Linked DNA regions of Arabidopsis thaliana. The protein of the gene in region 2 interacts with the protein of the main gene of each other region in a pairwise test. Each region holds a gene or a part of one and is shown on either strand. Other genes may lie near its edges.

Region 1 (7,062 bases), on a different chromosome or scaffold from region 2:
AATATGCCTGCACCGGATATCGCAGTAAAATACTATACGGGAGGTGACTTGTACTTATTTGGTGAGTTTGTCTTTCCAGGAATTATCAATATCCTCCAGAGTTGTAGAGATGTTTTTACCTATGATTAGTAGTCTTTTAAACTGGCCCTGTATTGTCTGCAGATGAGTTCCAAACATCAAGAACTCCCAATACTCGAAGACCAGTAATAGGTAGCAAATCTATTTCATATCCGTTTAGTTCTTTCCATCTCTGATTCCGTCGAACCACAAAATGCTAAAAAAAAGTTTATGATTTATCCATGGTTATGATTCTGCGCTCTATAAATGACTGAGATTCTGTCTTATGTTTGTATGGAGGAAGCATTATTCACAGTTTGTGACTTACTTTGATGTTAAAATAAGAATCTATATAACGTTTTTGTTGTTTTGTGATTACGGTTGGGCAGAAAATCTATACGATGTGTTTGTGAACATAAGAGATGATGAAGCAGAACACTGCAAGACAATGAGAGCTTGTCAGACTCTAGGCAGTCTGCGTTCTCCACACTCCATTTTAGAAGATGATGATACTGAAGAAGAATCAGGGTGTGTTGTTCCTGAGGAGGCTCATTGCGAAGGTATTGTAGACTGCCTCAAGAAATCCATTACAAGTTAATAAATTAGAAAGTAAACTAAAAAAGATTATTTGTATCAGCTCATGAACAATAGATATAATCCCATATACTTGGGAATAAAGGAATAATGTGAAATTCCCATCGTTGTGCTAGTGTGTGAGAGAATCAAATACCCTAATGATGTAAATGTACTTTGATGAGCTTAAGTCGTTGTAGACCATTTTATCCATACTACTAGCCTTTGTGGTTGCATTGTCGGTTTCTTCAATTCTTATTTCACAGGAGTAAAAAAAATGTTTAAAAGTACAAAATCATTGAATGTATCATTCTCTCAAAAAGCATATTGGTATTAGCGTTTAGAATCTCTATATCCCACACTTTTATTTTTATTGGTTTTGTTGGGGAGAGTGTGGCGCAAAGACGACGTCGTCTATGCGAACATTTCACGTGGGAAAAGCCTTGATTCATGCGCCTTCTTTAATTTTTCTTCTTTTTTTTTTTTTTTTTTTGTCTCTTCTTTGCCTTTCACTTTTTAAAATGATTTTCCGCGGGTTTAATAACAAAAATGTTTTCCCGCCAGAAAGGTTTTACCAAAAAACCATGTTCCGGTTATAGCACAGGTAAGAGAATTCATCAGTCTAGTATAATTAGCAGTAATCAAATTCGAATACTTTGATCGTCGCTTTTATTTCAGAGTTAGCGTTACATTAATAGTACCTTTATTCGATTGATGATTTGTTTAATCTTTAATAGGGTTTGAACTCCGATGGAGGACCTTTTTTGTTGGTAATATTCCCTTCGTTTCACAATATAAGTTGTTTTAACTAAAAATACGTATATTAAGAATATTTATTTTTAAAATGTTCAACCAATTATAAAAAAAACTGTAGAATATAAATAATCATAAAGTATTAAAATAATATATAATTTGCATAGAAACTTGAAAACAACTTATATTATAAAACAAAAAATTTGGTATAAAACAACTTATATTATGAAACGGAGGGAGTATAAACTTAAGTACTAATTCGATTTTGTTTCTATTCGAGACCTTGAAGACTTTTTTATTTAATTTTAAAACTAAGTCGTACAGTTACAGAAACAGCATTAAATTTTTCCTCTTAAGTAAATTTATTTTTTCTCTTTCTATCAGAAATTCAGAAGAACTAACATTATAGTTGCCCCCATTGCGTACACTGTACATCATTTCTCGGTAAATTACACATAATTATAAGTTGATTAACCTTTTAAGTTTTAAACAATGATGTAAGTAACTTATTAAAAATTGGTTTTTAAAAATTGAAAGTTATATACTCAAGTTGGAAAAATATTTTACAAATATACTCGATTCCACTACTACTGTAATTTTGTGTGGAATACCAGTCAAACAGAATCGTTATAACTGTTAAAAATTAGTAAAACTGTATAAAGTAATTTTAATTCGCGGGAAATCAATATTCGGAAGCAACTTTAACAAAAAAAATAAAGAAATGTGAAGAGAAAAAAAAAACTCTGAAAACTTCCTTTATAATGTCATCATCACTGCGAGACCCAAAGATCTAAACAGTTTCTCTCTCTCCCTCACAGGGCTCTCTCATGGCGGAGCTAATCTGTCTATTTCACTGGTGATTCTGTTTCACTATCTGAGAATTTGTTTAGAGTTTCCGTTACCGAGTCGATGATGAGTGAACTCGATCTCGGAACGAGTCAGAGGATGACGGAAACACACCGCACGACGACGACGTTTCTTGATTTGCTCCGACGACAGATGAGCGGTCACGATCTCACCAGAAGGAAACGGACGTTAAAAGAACGGTTGAGATTCAAATGCATCGGATGCTGTGGTCCAACCTGGAATCTCCGTCTAACTAACAACACCACTCTTCACAGTCCAACCTCAAGAGACGACGAAATCGAAGAGTTACAAATTGAAACCGGACTCGTTCTCGAATCGGATCATGGATCGGGTACGGGTATGAATCTCGCGACAGCGTTAGAAGCGGAGAGGTATAACCGTGGAGAATCGACGGAGGCGGAGGCAGATATGACGCCGAGGAGAGTTTCGTTGATGAGATTGTTGGAAGAGACGGCGGAGAAAATCGTTGATGACGACGGGAAAGAAACGGAGATATTAACGGCGTCTATTGGGACGTTAACGGGTAATGATTCGGTGTGTTGCGTGTGTATGGGAAGAAAGAAAGGCGCTGCGTTTATTCCATGTGGTCATACTTTTTGCAGAGTGTGCTCTAGAGAATTGTGGCTGAACCGTGGATCGTGTCCTCTTTGTAACCGTCCGATCATTGAGATACTCGATATTTTCTGAAAACGATCGGACGGCTAAAAGTTCTCGATCCACGTGAGTAAGTGAGGTGATCCCTAGATACGTTTCCAAAGTTTTAACTACGGTTTGTGTACTTTGTACGTTTCTTTTGGTTATTGAAGAAGATGATGTAAATGCAAAAAAGAATACAAGAGGTTTTTTGTTCACGAGGCCCATTTAGTCTATTCAAGCCCAGTAAACCGTTATTTTGGATTTTATCTAGCCTAAACAATGCTCGCCTCACACCGTCGAGTGGATTCTTGGCCGTTGATCTTGTCTCTCACGTGGCAGTATCGTAGTCGAATGTACATGATCTATGTGGAATAGTCGATATTATCCCTCTTGGTGTGAGTTTGGTAGTTGATGAAAGCAAAACATTTACGTAACAATGTCTATAAAATCAGTACAGGTCTATTCTTGTTCACTAGCTTCGAAATTTTAGTCGAAGAAACAAAAAAAAATGGCGACGGTACAATTGTCCACCCAATTTAGCTGCCAAACCAGAGTTTCAATCTCACCGAACTCTAAATCTATCTCCAAGCCTCCGTTTCTGGTACCGGTGACCTCAATTATTCACCGCCCGATGATCTCCACCGGAGGAATCGCTGTTTCCCCCCGTAGAGTTTTCAAAGTCCGAGCCACAGATACGGGAGAGATAGGATCAGCTCTATTGGCGGCGGAGGAAGCAATTGAAGACGTGGAAGAGACGGAGCGGCTAAAGAGATCGCTCGTGGATTCGTTGTACGGAACAGATCGAGGTTTAAGCGCATCGAGCGAAACCAGAGCTGAAATCGGAGATCTAATCACACAGCTCGAGTCTAAGAACCCTACTCCAGCTCCGACGGAAGCTCTTTTCCTTCTCAACGGCAAATGGATCCTCGCGTAAGTTTTTTTCCGGTGAAAACTTTCTCTTGTAGTCCTGTAGATAGCATCATTCGTAGGATTCTGGATTCAAATGGTAGATCTCGTGCTGCTTTTGATTTGGTTAAACCTCTTTTGCAGCTACACATCGTTCGTGAATTTGTTCCCGTTGCTATCACGAGGAATCGTACCGTTAATAAAAGTCGATGAGATCTCTCAAACCATTGATTCAGATAACTTCACCGTCCAGAACTCTGTTCGTTTCGCTGGTCCTTTAGGTACAAACTCGATTAGCACCAACGCTAAATTCGAAATCCGAAGCCCTAAACGCGTCCAGGTAAATTGACCATTCATCGACCATGATCTGATATCAACATCTTGAAACGTTTTCAGTAATGTTTTGGATTTCATTTTTCTTGCAGATTAAGTTTGAGCAAGGCGTAATTGGGACGCCTCAGCTAACGGATTCTATTGAGATACCGGAATATGTAGAGGTTCTTGGTCAAAAGATTGATCTTAACCCGATCAGAGGGTTACTTACCTCGGTGCAAGACACAGCCTCGTCTGTGGCTAGAACCATATCAAGCCAACCACCGTTGAAATTCTCTTTGCCGGCGGACAATGCGCAGTCTTGGCTACTCACGACTTATCTAGACAAAGACATTCGGATCTCTAGAGGAGACGGTGGAAGTGTCTTTGTGCTTATCAAAGAAGGAAGCCCTCTCTTGAATCCTTGAACTTGGTCAAAATATATGTCTCTCTCTTGTCGTTGTGTTAAGTGAGACAAATATATAGTGTGGTTGTAGGTTTACTTCTTAATCGTTGTTATTAACTCGATGATAAGGAATATAATGTTTTTAACTACTACAGAACATCTCGTCTATGGCCTATGAAATGTGTCTCAGATTTTCACAAAATTCAAGTGTTTTAGAATTTCATTCTCTTCTGTTTGATTTAGAAAGTAAACTATGTACCGATGCAAGAGTTACATGAGAATTATCCCGGCAACGTCGGGTCTTTCGATAAGAATCGAGATGATGACTGTCATTTTGTTGTCTAATTGGTTCACTCTGTGCTTGATGCCTATCATTTTTTTTTTGAGGGACTCAGTCACTGGAAATGGTTCTATTAGTATGGTATGGGATACTTGTTAGTATAGTACTCGAGGTTTCTAGCATATGCCATAGAGTTTCTCAATATCTGAAGCCCTATTTTGAATGTGTTTGTTCTTTCTGTAATTTATTTAGAGACCATCAGGTAAAGGAAAAACTCAATTCAGACAAGAACATAAGAAACCTAAATTGACCAAATTTCTCATATAACTGAAAGTTTGAAACTGTGTTTTGTTATGTACAGTTTGGTGGAGGGTTTGATGCGGAGAGCATGAATCAGAGCCAAAACTGAAAGTGGAGGAGACAATAATAATGATAACAATGAAGAATAATCTGTAAACTGAGTTTTATTACTTTCTTTTTCTTCTATGTCTCTCTTTATCATTGTAGCACATATTTGCTATATAGGATTTGAATGGTTGCAACGGTTAAGGCGGACAAATTCGTTTGCGGTTTGAACTGTTTTTTATTTATCATTCATATTTGTATAGGTGCGAATTTAAAAAAGAAAAAAAAAACCACTGCAGATTAACTACGGACTGTTTTTACATACAAATATAATTAGTTCGTAACGGTTTATTGCCCATTTTAAAAATAGAGCGGACTAAATCGCTGACGTATTTGTCCGCTCTAACTACCGTTAGTAATAATATAGTTTGTTGTCAAAAATACATTCTTTTGTTTAGGTTTGCAGATGATTTTTTTTATTTTCTATTACTATATTTTAGTCTTTTAGATGATAAATTCGCAATAAATTTGTAATCTGCCAAACTACTGAAAAAAGAGAAAATAATTGTGGTTTGTCTTAAAAGTCACTTGTTTTAAGACATATCATGTGCAGCCATGCAAAGTGTATCTCCCGAATCTTCTTCACTCATTAATGTTTTACAGTATTTTTATAAATTTTATCATGTTAAGTACAAAATAAAAATAAGAATGGTCCATTAGAATTACAGCATATAACAACAAGGACTAGTTCTCTTTTGTAATTTTGTAATTTTATGCAAACGTATAAAAGAAAAATAATCGTGTTTTATTTTTGGAAAGGAATTAAGTATTTCTGCCACCACCTAACAAACAGGGTCCATTTCTTGGGTCTAAAACTTTTCACGGTCAAACAAGATATACATTGATTACTATTATTGTATTCGTATTATCTAAAACACTATCATAATAATAGTAACTTTCATCATCCGACCTTCTTCGTATAATAATTTAAATAAATTTATGGATCTAAGACTAAGATGACAACCACTAAAAAAAGCAACTATAGTCCATATATATCAGACTACTTTTGGCATTTTATCAGTATATGACACCTAAAAATTACAAAAATTATAACGAACACAAACGTAACACAATACATGTCTACATCATTACGTATTTGTGTTTGAATTTTTTTTTATAAAAAAAAAACTGAAAAAGTTTAAAGTGAAGGAACAAAGAAACAAAACAACGACACAATTTAGACAGCTAGTTTTATTGCAAAAGCCAAAGCTTTATTTTGATACCCCCAAAGTAGAAGGCAAACACTCAAACATGGATGTGAGATGAAATCATAAACATGCAAATAGCAAAACACACAGACACACAAATTAAGTGACGTCGTTTTCTATCATCTGCAATCACATGCTTTCCTTTTCAGCACCGCTCTTTGCAGCATCATAATCACGGCAGCACCAACATATCCCTTGACCACCACCAACATTTAAGCATTCGCCTCCATGATACTTGCTGTCCACTGCCCTGCATGGTACATCGCAAGTAGAGATCGTGTCCGCGAGTCTACATAAACCCTTTCGTAAGTCACACTTTCCCCATCCATTCACTTCTGTATGATCCATACAAAGAGACAATATTTCATAAACATGTATTTATTTTAGATCTTTGGATCAAAATATTTTGGTCTTTTTTACGTACCTATAGGAGATATGAGGAGGATGGAGAGACAAACGACTATTGCAAATGTGCTCAGCTTTAAGCTCCCCATTACTTGCTGATCTCTTAGTTCTTCTTAGCTTCTTTCTTTTTTAGCAATAGTTAGTTGGGAGAGAGCTTAACCAAACATGCAATTTTATTGTATTCTATATGTAAACTCGCACGCTAGCAACTGCGACCCGTAATATACGGTTAGCGACTTCGATCAGATTTTACT
Region 2 (7,447 bases):
CCTTCTCCTTGAGGTATTGATGAAGATCTCCCTGTCAAAAAGATGAATCATTTATTTAGCCAAGAAGAAAAATTGCATAAGAAAAAGAAAGCGGATAGTGAAAACCTACCCCGCGTAAGTACTCAGTGATTAACATAAGGGGCTTTCTTTCGGTTACCGCTCCTAAGAATTGGACTATATTTGGATGGCGAAGCTTAACTAGCAAATCAACCTCATGCCTGAAGTCCTGACTGTATATCACAACAAGTATGGAAACACAAGAATCTTAGGTGAGAGCGATACCAAAGTATCAGCTAAAAGCTAGAAACTTCTTCGACAATAATAATTGGGATATAAGAGAGAAGTAAGAACTTACATAACCAGTCTATCATCTGAAAGAGAAGGAAGAATACGTTTCACAGCTACCGGTGTTCCTCTCCAATAGGCTTTCACAATCTCACCAAATGAACCCTAAAAGAATGTGACCAACCCCAAATTAGCCAAAAGAAACTCATTTGCTCAAAACTCCATTATATTGAACTAAACACGGATAAGCAAAAGCACAAATCATACCTTTCCAATCATTGCAGCATTTGAAAAATCCAGCTCAGCAGGTTCAATTTCCCAGTCACATTTCTTTGGAATTGGTGGTGGCACAGGCTTTGGTTCAAAGTGACTTCCGTTTTGACCCTGCATAGTGAATTTACTCAGCTACATATGAACAACTATCCACACACAACAACAAAAATGACTAATAGAAACACTAAAGAATAACAAACAACACTGCATTAAGCAGCTACTTCAGAGAGATACGAAAGTTTCTAAATTTTGCAAAAAACATTTTCATATTCAATAGCAATCATCACCTACCCTAACAAATGAAACAAAAGGAACAATGTCTAACCTAAAGCTATACAAAGATCAGAAAAGGGAATTCAAAAACTCACATAAGACAAACCACCATGAGATTTCAGCAGTTCAATCATTTTCTGCTTCCTAGCTCCTTCTGCATCAGCCAGTGGCTGCAAATACCCACAAATACAACAATAAGTTTTAGATCAGAATCATAACAAAGTTAAGAAACTTGAAGAAGCAACCCAAAATTCAAAATAAAAAGGAAGAGGCTTTACCGTGTTCTTCCACCTATCCTGAGCATTGACATCAGCACCAAACTCAAGCAGACATTTAACAACATCGATCCATCCATGAAGCGACGCCACGTGGAGAGGCGTTCGTTTGTCATAGTCTCTAGCGTGAACCAAAGTCGGATCTTCCTCCAAGAGTTTCCGAACTGCAGCTGCGTCGTTTTGGTGCGCGTGCCATAGTATCAGAGATGTTCTACTCACACGTGCCTTCTCCTTTTGTTTGTCGTATGAAGGTGAAGGCACGCTTGTTCCCGCAGCGGCTTGTTCGCCACCGTCTCCAGCCGCCGGTGAATCGGAGCTCATCTCAAAACCGATTCAGATGATTGAGAGAAAAATGGAAAAAATAAGAGATTTTTGAATAAGGGTTTCGATTTTGATCGATAGAGCGATGTGATTAGAGTGGTTTCTTAGAATTTTAGAATTTGGATTTTGCTTCCGCGTGAGATTGAGGAATCAATTCTTTACTGTGGAACCGGAGAGAGGGAGAGAGAGATGATTCATGTTTTCTCTTTTGTGTTGCTTGTGTGAACGAAGATAATCGCCGTTAACTTAGCCGTCAAGTTGAATTGATGACTTTTTCCTCCGTCTATTTTAGTGAGTTCTTTTTTAACTCTGTCACCGTTATCTAAGACTTCTCTCTTTTGGTCTCTTTACTCTTTATTATTAGTGACCGACTAAGAAGGCTAGACTACTAAAGGGAAATTATTAAGGGATCATGTTGGATTTGTTCTTAGAATTTCATGAATAATATCAAATTTTAGTTACGTTTTAGTTTAGATTTGGTTATTTTTGAATAAATTTTAAGAGTAATGGTCACCTTGTTACAATAATACAATCTTTTGAAACTGAAAGAGTAATGGTCACCTTGATTTTACCCTTTGGAGTTTTGAGTTAAGAAAGAATAAGTAAACAAAGTGGCTTTACCTGTCTTTTTGACATAATAGTCTATCATATGTATAAATATAAATTTGACAATCATAAAATGCTATATGAATTATATAATAAACGTTATGGGTACTAAGTCAAGTCAACGATCCGGATAACATGGAATCACATCTATCACATGATTTTTATTAATAATACACTAGCATATGCCTTTAGCATATCTATTTTTATCTAAACAAAAAAAAGTCACTATTTTTCATGTTAAGAAGTTCAATATACAATGGTCTTTTTTGTCAACTAATCATAGATACTATAAATACTCACATGTTGATTGACCAAGTAATACATTACCTACTAGTGTTAGCTTTAAAGCCTTCAAAGAAAAGAGCGCAACTTCAAGAGAATTATAAGGAACAAAAAAAAGTTATGGAGCACAAGTAAAATGCATTTTATATATATACACAGTATCACCCACGGTTAATTACTGTTTAGTCTATACAAAGTATTTTCAATTATTGCAAGTAAAATTAATACATTGTTTCACAAGCTATTTATTATCCCTCAAGTCCTCAAGAGAACGCTTCCGGGATCCGAGATTACGTTCCAGCGTCTGAGGTGTAGGTGGTGTTCTTCCACGGCGGAAGAGCACTGCCAGAGACCTTGTTTTCCGACAAAGATCAAAAACCTATTCAAAAAAAAAAAAGCAGATCATTTCAAATGTTTAAAGGCAACAAGTTCTAGAATTAGATGATATCTTTGTCTCATAATCTTACAGAGGAGGCCTCAATCTCAGCGACACCTTCACACCCTTTCCCTCCCCCTTGTAATAGGTCACAGTATCTAACAGCCTCATTCACATCTTCGAAAACCTTTGAGATAAAAACTAGGCATATCACGTTGTCTGGGTTTCATAAGGTCTTGAAAGTGATTCAGTGAGAATACTTACCAGTACTCCATCTCGAATGTCTTCTACGAGCATATCGAATTTAGTTTTGGGTCTAGCCTGCTTTGTCTGGTTGCTGATCCTACTAGGGAACAACAGTCCAAGCTCTTTTTCTACTTCACTGTTTATAAGGATTGCTAATGTCATAGGGAGAAGAAAACTAAAACTATAAAAAAAAACTTGAGTGGAATAGAGTTGGAACCTGTGGTTTGTTCTTGTTTTCATGGTACATATCTGGTTTTCTCTATGTGTTAATACATATACAGGCTTCGAATCTCCTCTCCATGGGTTGGACTCCAACACTAAGATTGTGAGAAGCCACAGTGAGAGAAATGGTTCTCAACGAAATCACTCAGTCAAAGATACAGAGCACTAAAGGAACAACATCAATTTATTAACTTTAGATGAATACAAGCTTAAATTGAATAAAACACTTATGTTCCTATTGCTTTGATATTCCTATGCATCAGCACTATGTGAAAGATGAGATGATAAAACCGTGCTTGCAATCTTACTGTAAGAGTGGAATCTAGAAATGAACAATTTTCCTCATCATAGTTCAGCTGAAGCACTCTTCTCCTGGGGAACTAAAGAAATGGTATGCAGAACACAAACTTTTGAATCATAACTAACACTACATCTATCAATGGAGAGCTTCTTCACCGGTTGTGTGTGACACAGTGACTAAATTCTGACATTGTTCAACAAAACGATTTGACTCCTGTTAACAAAAACAAGGCACTAAGGGAATTTCAAACTACTACAGTTCCCAAACTTCCTAGACAATCTTTAAGAAACTCTGATCAAGTTAGTTGCATCAACGAAAGTATTAATTTTGCATCACCAAAATCAAAGTAAACGCAGGAATTGAGAGCGATAGAGATTATACCGTCATAGCTAGTGGAATCAAACGTCTGCTCAAGTTTCCGACGCATGTCGTAAGCACGCGACGAAACTTGCCTTACAAACTCATCGGAAGTCCCAGGGATCGTACCATCCAAGTGAAGCGCCTTCTCAACTTCCTCGCTCTCTTCTTCATCGCCACCAAGCTTATCTGATCCTCCTCCTCCGCCGCCGGTCGATTTACAGCTAACGAAGTGTCTTCTTCTAGAAATCGAAATCCGTCTCCCGGAGCTGGACAAGCCGAAAAGGTAAGAAGAACGGCGTGAAGGAAGACGAATCAACACTGATCGTGAAGTTGAAACGGGGATCGTAGTAGTGGTGGCCGGAGGAAGAATTATGGAAGGAGAAATAGATGTTAGCGATTCCATTGAAACTTCCTTCTCTTTCTAATTCACTGTTTATCTTTCCCTTCTTAGAAAATCAAACGATCCTTTCTTAATTTTCTCGGGAAAAGAGAAAATTCTCGACGTGACGTAAACGACTCAACAAGAAGAAAAGAAAAAAACTCGTGGAGGCAAAATTTAACAACTCTCCTGAATCTACTGATATTTTTCCTTTGGTGGGTTCCACACATGTTCAAGACCTTCTACCTCGTTCCAAAGGTCCGTGATTAACAAAGTCGTAATTAAGAAACTTGCTTAATTAATACGAGTCTCTGAATTAGAAAGACTTATATATTACAAAAAAAAACGTAGAGAGGTGTTACATAAGAAGCTTTCACTTTCACAGTACTTATATGGATATTCGAAAGAAACTCACCTAATGATCTCACTTGTAAGGTCACGAACCAGTTGTGTTTTCAGGAGAAGATAAGCCATTCGATACGGTTTCATCATCACCAAGTTGTGAGGATTCTTGATCAGGGAATAGCTCCAGTCGCATAGACGGTGCAATGTTATTCACATGAAGCCATGTTAGCTCCCATAAGCTATCTCCACCAAGAGCACTTCTTTGCAATAGCACGCCTTTCGTCTTCATCACCAGCAATATGTTTTTGAGAAGCTCTGGTACTGATTCTTGTAGCTTGTCGCTTTTTTTGCCTCTTACTTTCACTTTCATGTATTTCTCCATTCGAGTTAGAACACCGAGCCATAGCTTGCAGAAGGTTGATAACTGAGATAGCTCTTGGAGTTGCTGAAGAAACACTTTGGAGAGAAGTTTGATTGCGAGAAGCAATGTGCCTTCCATGTTTCGGTAGTCTTTCTGTGACCCAGCAGCTATCTCAAGTAAGTCATCCAAAACCGTGAAGATTACTTTGTCAAAGCATTGAGACCACATGCTATGAGCTAGGTTGATTCCGTCTACTCCGCCTAAACACTTCTGTAATGACTGTAAAGCGTGGTTTCGGACATCCTCCCTCTGGTCTAAACACACTTTTCTTAGTCCTTGAACAAGCCTTAACCACATTTCCCCAATATCTTGTGACATCTTCCCGAAATCTTCTTCTCCCATGTTTTCCTTAGCTGAGAGAGCCCATTTAGCCAAAAATTCTAATGAATCTCCCATTAGATCAAGGGCACGGATAGAGCGTTCGGACTGTCCCACGCGGGATTCAGCAAACTGTCTTGCAGCATCAACACAGAGTACATAATTGGCTGGATACAGGTGAGTTCCTTCAGACATAACAAAGGATACGGCATCAAATCCTGATTCAGAAGCTTCTGGGTGCCGCGCTGTGATGGAGAGTAAGGATGTGATTGTTCTCCAACCCGCCTGAGACCTGATGTGATTAGCATTGGCTTTCACAAGACGGCTGACTTCAATTGCAATTTGCTCACAATAGGCATCTGCAACACGTGCATCCAGTTTCAGCACAAGCTGAAGAGATCTCAAAAGCTCATCAGCTAGGCTTTCTTTATAAGGAAGTAGTCTCTGGCAGATCCGAAGTAGACCAAAAATAGCTTTATCCACTAAGTTGCAGGGCATCACCGTTGACTGAGCAATTGTAGCTATATGTTCATAGACGCCTTGCCATAGGAGAACGATCCTGTCTCTGTTGTTTAGAGTGATTGCAATAAGCAATTCCAGACAGAAAACCGCAGTATCCTCATCCTCTGGAGAACTGGTTCCTTTCTGTGGCCTACCTGCAGCCCAAATGAGAGCACGCGCAAGCTGCAACAAAGATTCAGCTTGTAGAAACTTGCTTTCGGTAAATATGCTGTCAATGTGACATTTCTGAATTGTTTGAAGTGTTCGTTGATGAGCTGCAAGCTGTTGCTCAGTAGGCTGTGATCTTGGCTCTTCTGTATCAAGTGAAAGAAGCTGACTAAATCTTCCCATCAATCCGGAAGATCTCCTCGGAGTTCCCATTGACTGTAGATGAGCTGAAGATAGGGAATTCGCGAGGGGCTTTCCTTGCCCTTGCTCAGATGAATGTTCTGATTCATCAGCTGCATCACTGGCTACACGAGCTGGCAGAAGTCCAAGTTTATGTAGCCGTAAGATACAGTCCAATATGTTCCTCCAACCCGTACGTATATAATCTCCATATTTGTTTGCAATGGTAAAAATTGTGATAGTAGCCATCCTTGCTTTTGCGTCATCACCAAATGCAAGAACGGGTTCATCAACAGATGATGGATTCAACAGAGTTGTGAATTTGCAGAGAGAGACAACCAGATCATCAAGCACATCTTCAAGATGATGACAGGCAGAAATTTTAGCTATAGCCAAGAATCCATCGATGCATGTCTGGTAAACGTCTTCATGTTCTGCATGGTCAAAAACGACTGATATGGCAGCAATGGTTGGACCAGACATGATAGCAAACATATCATGGTCAAGATAAGCCCTTGAATCAGCCAGAATATATGGAGCAGTTTTCTTTGATTTATGCATCAAATCAATCCAACGGCTGGGAGTCATTTCAGGAAAGCCTGCACCTTGTTCTGGAGTAGTCCTGATCTCATTGTTGCAGATGGAGTGAAAGAGTTCAGACAAGAATTCTCGAGGTAGATCATTTCCTCCATTGATATGCCTATTATTGCGAATGAAATCCTCTTCTGTCATCTTTTTCTTTACTTGAACGTTGTGCTGATCAGTGTTAAGCATGATAATAGAGTATGATAACACAAGAGCAGCATCCTTGTTGGCCAGAATCTCAGGAGATTGCATATAGTATCTTTCAGAGAACGCCTCAAGCACTCTCTGTATTTTCTGGGATTCTCCAGGCAACCTGAAGGTTTCCAAGAAGAGTCGGAGTGCAGTATCCAGATTCATGTACTGGAAATCGAAAGTCCCAGCAAACTCATTGAGAACTTGAACACAAAATTCGTCATGATTTCCAAGAAAATCCCCAACAAGGTTCTTATCAAGCCCAGCAGTATATCTAAAAAAGCAAGCAACACTTTGGGGATCGAGTTTGTCAGGCAAAAGATGTGTGCCTTGGAGAAACTCTAACCCCTTCTTTGGATCCCTGTTAAAATGATCTGCTCCAATCATTAACCTTCTCTTGATATATTTTCTCCTGCGGACAAATGAAACCCAGTGATTTGGATCACTATAGTTGTCACACTTAACCATCCAGAAAGGCGTGTACTCATCAAGATGGACAGGACCCAAATCCAAACCAGTCAATCCATTACTTATCCTC

What was found. Proteins that work in one complex are often made in the same cells at the same time.
Region 1: the proteins of AT1G13990 (region 2) and AT4G22240 interact in a two-hybrid assay, tested with the Arabidopsis thaliana proteins (one large-scale study listed by BioGRID).

Annotation. Positions count from the first base shown.
Region 1 is NC_003075.7:11,763,560-11,770,621, reverse strand, and holds AT4G22240 (Plastid-lipid associated protein PAP / fibrillin family protein), read left to right. Parts: upstream 1-3,199; 5' UTR 3,200-3,394; coding exon 3,395-3,816; intron 3,817-3,936; coding exon 3,937-4,132; intron 4,133-4,217; coding exon 4,218-4,532; 3' UTR 4,533-4,819; downstream 4,820-7,062. Other genes in the region: IM (Alternative oxidase family protein), read left to right, coding at 1-61, 163-210, 447-655; AT4G22250 (RING/U-box superfamily protein), read left to right, coding at 2,293-2,937; AT4G22235 (defensin-like protein), read right to left, coding at 6,533-6,738, 6,828-6,897. UniProt on the Arabidopsis thaliana protein: Probably involved in light/cold stress-related jasmonate (JA) biosynthesis.
Region 2 is NC_003070.9:4,791,586-4,799,032, reverse strand, and holds AT1G13990 (plant/protein), read right to left. Parts: upstream 4,278-7,447; 5' UTR 4,224-4,277; coding exon 3,842-4,223; intron 3,752-3,841; coding exon 3,714-3,751; intron 3,540-3,713; coding exon 3,468-3,539; intron 3,255-3,467; coding exon 3,217-3,254; coding exon of another isoform or gene 3,155-3,216; intron 3,119-3,154; coding exon 2,956-3,118; intron 2,879-2,955; coding exon 2,783-2,878; intron 2,695-2,782; coding exon 2,557-2,694; 3' UTR 2,439-2,556; downstream 1-2,438. Other genes in the region: VIK (VH1-interacting kinase), read right to left, coding at 1-31, 110-230, 356-450, 553-669, 927-1,001, 1,110-1,427; GN (sec7 domain-containing protein), read right to left, coding at 4,636-7,447.